2 linked regions of the Rattus norvegicus genome follow. The protein of the gene in region 1 interacts with the protein of each later gene in a biochemical or structural test. Links are inferred from orthologs where the notes say so. Each region holds a gene or a part of one and is shown on either strand. Other genes may lie near its edges.

What was found.
Region 2: the proteins of Ddx39a (region 1) and Sarnp form a complex in vitro, tested with the Homo sapiens proteins (2 studies listed by BioGRID). The link is inferred for Rattus norvegicus from reciprocal best matches to the Homo sapiens genes DDX39A and SARNP.

The regions. Positions count from the first base shown.
Region 1 is NC_086037.1:41,322,965-41,326,010, reverse strand, and holds the end of Ddx39a (ATP-dependent RNA helicase DDX39A), read left to right. Parts: exon of another isoform or gene 1-219; coding exon 220-403; exon of another isoform or gene 404-749; coding exon of another isoform or gene 750-810; exon of another isoform or gene 811-1,019; coding exon 1,020-1,138; exon of another isoform or gene 1,139-1,514; coding exon 1,515-1,646; exon of another isoform or gene 1,647-1,730; coding exon 1,731-1,840; exon of another isoform or gene 1,841-1,923; coding exon 1,924-2,068; exon of another isoform or gene 2,069-2,162; coding exon 2,163-2,310; exon of another isoform or gene 2,311-2,399; coding exon 2,400-2,416; 3' UTR 2,417-2,546; downstream 2,547-3,046. UniProt on the Homo sapiens protein: Helicase that plays an essential role in mRNA export and is involved in multiple steps in RNA metabolism including alternative splicing. Regulates nuclear mRNA export to the cytoplasm through association with ECD.
Region 2 is NC_086025.1:1,845,532-1,849,352, forward strand, and holds part of Sarnp (SAP domain-containing ribonucleoprotein), read left to right. Parts: intron 1-706; coding exon 707-806; intron 807-3,821. UniProt on the Homo sapiens protein: Binds both single-stranded and double-stranded DNA with higher affinity for the single-stranded form. Specifically binds to scaffold/matrix attachment region DNA. Also binds single-stranded RNA. Enhances RNA unwinding activity of DDX39A.

The sequences.
Region 1 (3,046 bases):
ATACTGGCCTCAAGCAGCATTCATCAATCTTGAGGTTTGTGGTAACTTACGTTCCTTATAAGCCTGATGAGTTATGCCCAGCCCCCACAGGCTTGTGCTGGTCCCACATACCTCAGCCTTGCACCTGCTCTTCAGTCTCCCCTGGGTTCTGAGGGAGTAGGGCTGGAGTGTCAGGTTCCCTCAGGATGGGTAGAAACAGCTTTCTTTCTATCCCCATAGGTATCTGTGTTCTTTGGAGGCCTCTCCATTAAGAAAGATGAAGATGTGTTAAAGAAGAACTGTCCCCATGTTGTGGTGGGGACACCAGGCCGGATCCTGGCCCTCGTGCGGAGCAGGAGCCTCAACCTGAGGAATGTGAAGCACTTTGTGCTAGATGAATGTGACAAGATGCTGGAACAGCTGGGTGAGCATCCTACTGGCCTGACCAGCTGCTTTCCCACTCACAGAGTCACAGCCATTTTCTAGGGGGCCTGATGGGGCAGGCAGTGGCTCTCATAGTGGGTCACATGGGTGGCCAGAACTCAAGGCTCCTAGGAGAACCCTAAGGGAACAGAGTATGTGCTGCTTCTGAACCCAAGTTGGTTGGGACCATAGGCCCCATGAGCTGCCATCCCTTTAGGACATGTAGGCACATCCAGGGAATCTAGAGGAGTAGAGTGGCCTCTGCCACCCACTAGGGGCTGGGAGAGATGGGCATGTGTCCTGGGAAGAAGCTGCAGCTCTCACGCCAGTGGCTGTCTCTGCCTCAGGCTCCCTTTCCTGAAGCGTGGCTCAAGGCGCACTGGCAGGGCCGCTCCATGCTGGCAGCGAGTAAGTGGACCGCAGCTCCTCCCATGCCTGCGCTCCCGCCCATCCGAGCCCAGCCCCTCAGGCAGTGGGGACACCCTTGGGCCCACTCCACCGCGGCTATGGTGCCAATGTTGTCTGGCCCAGGTTGGGAAGGGCTGGTTCCTCTCTGGTGTGGGTCTGCTCAGTCAAACAAGACATTCAGGCTTGCTATTTGTTGGCGTCCCCTCCAGACATGCGCCGGGATGTACAGGAGATCTTTCGTCTGACACCCCATGAGAAGCAATGTATGATGTTCAGCGCCACCCTGAGCAAGGAGATCCGGCCAGTCTGCAGGAAGTTCATGCAGGATGTGAGTAGGGTGACGCCCCAGCTGGCTGCCTGCCTGCCCACCGTGGCCAACACCTCAGCGCAGCAGCTTTGGCCTTCCCTGAGGGCTGGGCCACTCTGCGACAAGCACACTGCTCTCATGGCCTGGAGGATGCTAGGAGGCTTCGCTGGCCTCCTTCCTTCCCCTGGTTTGTCAAACTGGGAGCTGAGTGGTCCACACCTGAGCCAGAGGCAGAGCTTACATCCGGCTTTTGGGAGAGAATTGTTTACTGAGGTTGGGTGCAACAGGCCCTCTGGGAATCATCAATACAGAGGAGCTGCTCCCCGGACGGTGCCGGGCACATGAGACGTCCAGAAGTGAGCCCTACTCGCCCCTTCCTGCTTCCCTTCCCACACAGCCTATGGAGGTGTTTGTGGACGACGAGACCAAGCTCACACTGCATGGGCTGCAGCAGTATTACGTCAAACTCAAGGACAGTGAGAAGAATCGTAAACTCTTCGACCTCCTTGACGTGCTAGAGTTTAACCAGGTGATGCTTCTTGACTACACCCACGATTCGGGCCTGTGGGGGTGATTATCCATTGGCCTAAACAACATTACCATTCTTCTTCAGGTGGTGATCTTTGTCAAGTCTGTGCAGCGCTGCATGGCCCTGGCCCAGCTCCTAGTGGAACAGAATTTTCCGGCTATCGCTATTCACAGAGGCATGGCCCAGGAGGAGCGGTGAGTGCTTGATGTCCACTCGGGGTCACGGGTACTCACACCTAGGACTCAGGTTTAATACCTCTGCTTGTCTCCCACTCTAGCCTGTCCCGATACCAGCAGTTCAAGGACTTCCAGCGTCGCATCCTAGTGGCTACTAATCTGTTTGGCAGAGGCATGGACATTGAGAGAGTCAACATCGTCTTCAACTATGACATGCCAGAGGACTCGGATACCTACCTGCACCGAGTGAGTGCTTCCTCCCAGCATGTGTGGGCTCAGGGTCTCCCTCACTCCTCCTCAGATCCTAAGGAGTACCTGTCTTCTGACACCATCTCTGCAGGTGGCTCGTGCTGGTCGCTTTGGTACCAAGGGTCTGGCAGTCACTTTTGTGTCAGATGAGAATGATGCCAAAATCCTTAATGACGTTCAGGACCGGTTTGAAGTGAATGTGGCTGAGCTTCCAGAAGAAATAGATATCTCCACATACAGTGAGTGCCTGGGGCCACTCTGGGAAGAGTTGCTGGGTTTCAGGAGCAAACCTCTAGCTGTCCTAACTGCGACTTTCTTGTCTTTACAGTTGAGCAGAGCCGGTAACCATGTGTGTAGCCAGGCACATGGCTTTCTCTCCTGCTGCTTCAGATCCTCCTCCTAGGTGGCAATCGGCGGCCTCTCTTTTTATTGTTCCAAAGCTTTAGCTATGTTAAGAATAAACTTTTATTGTGAATACCTGGCTCCAGCCCCATCTTTCTTTTCGCCAATATCTCATGGAGTGAGACAACATCTCAAGTCGGCCAACCTCTCCACCAGCAAGCATGCCATCTTTTTTATCAGGAGATTTAATTTTGTGTATCAACATTGAAAGGTTTACATGTTAAAAAAATTTACAAAACCTAGTCTTTTAACTGGGAGACCCTCTGCCCTGGATGTGGGGCAGCCAGGCCTCTGTACCGTGAGCCTCAGTAGCAGGCAGGTCCTCAGTGGCCAACATGGCCTTGTCAGTCTTAGCTTAAAGAAACTGAACCCAGCACCCTGGCCAAGAGCCCAGGTTTCAAGGGATCTTCGCTTTTGTCGCAGGACTGCCTGCCCCATGTACCAGGCAGTGGGCTGCAGGTCTGGGCTGTCTGGCTTTGTTTCTCTGGTAGGCAATAGCTGTCACGGTGAGGCAGAGAGGCAACCAGAAGCAGGAGCTGTGGCCCCTTGCCCTCTTGCAGGGCTCACTGCTGG
Region 2 (3,821 bases), on another chromosome or scaffold:
TCATGGAATGAGTCTAGATTGTCTTTGTTGTTGTTGAATTCCTGGTCTTCTTACCTCCACTTCCCAAGTGCTGGGACTGCAGGCTCAAACCTGGCCACTATTACTCTTTTATATAGACTGATGTTTGGAGAATTAACCTAAATTAATTCCTTTCTAGAATTAGGCCTCCTTTGATGACCTAAATACTACTCAATAAGCTCCACTTTTGGGGGCGGGAGTAAGAGTGGGTTTTTCTGCTGGCCTTGAAGTTTTGACTCTTCTGCTTCCCCTCCCAGCTGGGAGGATTACTATCATGTGCCACTGTGTAAGGCTGCTCTACATTTTTAATAGTCCCAGAGCCAATACACTGAGGACCAAGCTTCGACACAAAAACTGGGCTTGGAGAATCTGGCTTTAGAACACTGGGTTTCTGACTAAAGATTGATTTTTATTTTTCCCCCTTTCTTAAGTTGTTGACAGTGTAATGTTTTAGAACTTGCCCCTTAGTTATTTAAAAAAAAAGTTGCACAAATAGATTACAGCTTTACTTAAGTGTGATGTTTTACAGCGTGTGTTAGAAAGCCCTGTGGTCTTGGTCAGGGATAGGCCTTGGATTTGGGAATTGACCATTGTCCTTGCTACCGCCATCTTCTCTTTTGTGAGAAAGAATGACCTCTTTATTCATAGGAATTAAAAAAGTTGTTTGTTTGTTTGTTTGTTTTCTCAGCTTGCTGAACTAAAGCAAGAATGCCTTGCTCGTGGTTTAGAGACCAAGGGAATAAAACAAGATCTTATCAATAGGCTCCAGGCATATCTTGAAGAACATGGTGAGTACTTTGTGGAGGGAACATGATGTGAGTGAAGCATTACATTAGGTTTCAAGCTCTTACACTTAAAAAGATTTCTTCCTCTCTCAGGTAATTGATGACATAAGGTTTAAATTAACAACATCAAGAAAACTTTTAGAGATGGCCACGGTGGCTCATGCCTCTAATCCTTGCACTTGGGAGGGAGAGGCTGAAGGATGGCTTCAAGTTCAAGGCCAGTCTGATTTACAAAGTAACAGTTTGTTTCAGACAAAAACCACCACCAACAAAGAGTAGGTTTGGGCCGAGCCAGATGCTGTAATACAAGCCTGTATTCAGTACCCAGTGGACCGAGGCCTGAGGATCAGGTGTTTGAAGCCTGCCTAGGCTAGAGATCTAGGTTAGCTAGAGCTGCAGAGTGGGATCCTGCCTCCAAAACACACAACTCTGTATGTGTCTCTGGGTGTAGTACATGTAGGTGTATTAAAAATTTTTTTAAAAGATGTACTTATTTATTTTATATATATAAGGTACCATGTGGTTGCTGGAAATTGAACTCAGGACCTCTGGAAGAGCCGCTAGTGCTCTTAACCACTGAGCCATCTCTCCAGCCCCGTATTGAAATATTTTCATTTGTTATATACTAAAGAGGTAGGATCTTGTCCCATTGCCTCCCTGGCTGTGAATCGTAGTATGTTATTTAAATATCAGGATGGAGGAGACTGGAGGATGACTCTGGTTTAGAGCATGTGCTGTTCTTGCAGAGGACCTGGGTTTAATTCCCAGTACATAGGGTGTCTCACAACTGTATGTAATTCCAGGGATCTGACGTTCTCATCTGGTACATAGGATGTATGTACGTACATAAAATGCAGGCAAAACTCAGTCCATATAAAATAAAATAATGAAATATTAAAAAATTTGCCAGTCCTGTAATCCCAGTTCTTTTGGAGGCTGAGGCCAAAGAATCAAAATTTGAGACCCAGTTGAGCAACTTGGTAAGACCATACCTTTAAAGAAAAAATTATAACACTGTTACTAGTTAAGAGTTTGAAGCCTTTAATTTTAATCTGTATTGTATAAACTTTCATTTAATATGTTTGGCGAGTCACTGTTAACATAGTTAAGTGTTATCAGAGACTAGTGTCTGGACCCTTGAAATCCTTAAACTGGGTGATCTTTGGTTACCCTTACACCTCATCTCCCCCAATCCTACCTTGAAAAAGAAATAGTGCCCCCTTAATACATATTATCATCCCAGCTAATATGTATCTTTCCAATTTTTATCATTCTCTTTTTCCCTATTCCTCATTTCCTTCCTTTAAATACTCTTCAGACCCCATTCTTAGGTATTTGCTGTATCCATAAAATATTTTTAGGGGCTAGAGAAGTGGCTCATTAGATCAGGGCATTTGTTGGACCTGGATTTAAATCCCAGCATCCATGCTAAAAGCTGGATGTGCTCTCACAAACCTGTGTGCGCTGTGGGTGGAGAAGCTGGGAGGGCTCCTTAGGCTGCTGCCTAAGGCTAGCTCCAGGTTCAGTGAGAGCTTGTTTCAAGGGTGTGAGATACCCATCTCAGAGGGGTAAGGTAGAGAGTGATGGGGCACGTTATGATCTTATGTTATCAAGCCTGGGAGCAAGAGTGTGAGCCATCTTACAAGCTACCACAGTTTATGGCCTTAACATTCCTTAACAGATTCCTCTATTGTATGAAGTATTACATATTATATATTAAAGTGTTGTTAGGATATATAATTCTCTTATAAACTACTTTTCTTTTTTATGTGCCTGAGAGATTATATAATATATGCCCAGATTAGTGTTGTAGTCATTGTATATTCACTAATGTGTAAATATTTAATATGATTTAGCTCACTGTCAAGTTGCTTCCTAGAATTGTCCTATAAATCTGAATTCTTCATTAGGACATCAGGGTTCTTTTAAAACATACAACTATTTATTTTTAAAAGATTTTATTTGGGGCTAGAGAGTTAGTTCAGTGATTAAGAGCAAGTAGCTGCTTTTGTAGAGCACCCTAGTTCCCCATTCTTACATGGCCGCTTAAAACCATTTATAACTACAGTCCTGGGGGATATGACGCCCTCTTCTTGTCCCTGAAGAGCACTGCATTCATGTGCACAGATACATGCAGGCAAAACACCTAGATACATTTTTAAAAAAAGAATAATTACAAAATTATTATATTTTTATTTTATTTGTGGGTGTATGCCTTGTGTGTTAAGAGGCCAGAAGAGAGTGTTAGATGTCCTGGAACCAGAGTTAGGGTGTGTGGGTGTGAATAATGGTGTGGGTGCTGGAACCAAGCCCATATCCTCGATAGTACCCAGCCACTAAGCTGCCTCTCCAGCCCACACAGGGCTCTCTTTGTCTCTACAATCCTAGACTTGGCATTCTCCTATCAAGTGCCTACTGTTGCTGATTTGTTGTTGGTTTTAATATACTATAATTCCATCCTGAAGAAAATTTAGATGCTGTCTGTGTTCTGAGTTCAGTGGGTTTCTTCTTTGTCCACAAGTGCTAGAAATGCAGGCATTGGTAATGCCTGGCTACCTTGTTGTTTTTAAACACAGATATCTTTGTCATTGGTCTTTAAAGTATACATATACATATGTTATACACACACACACATACACACACACATACGTATATATGGGGTGTGTTTGTGTGTGTGTGTGTGAGTTGTATGAGTGTTCTGTCTTCAGACACACCAGAAGAGGGAATCAGATTCCATTACAGGTGGGTGTGAGCCACCATGTAGTTTCTGGGAATTGAACCCACGACCCACTGGAAGTGTAGTCAATGCTCTTAACCACTGAGCCATCTCTCCAGCCTTGTCATTGTTCTTTTATGTTTTTTTCTCTTGGTGTTCTTTAGTAGGAGTGCTTAGTTTTGAAAATAATTTTTTCACCTATTTTGTTGTGTGTGTGTATTTATGAGTGTGTATGCACAGGTGTGGGTGCCCGAGGAGGCCAGGAGAAGGTGTCAGATTCCTTGGTGCTGGTATTATAGGGT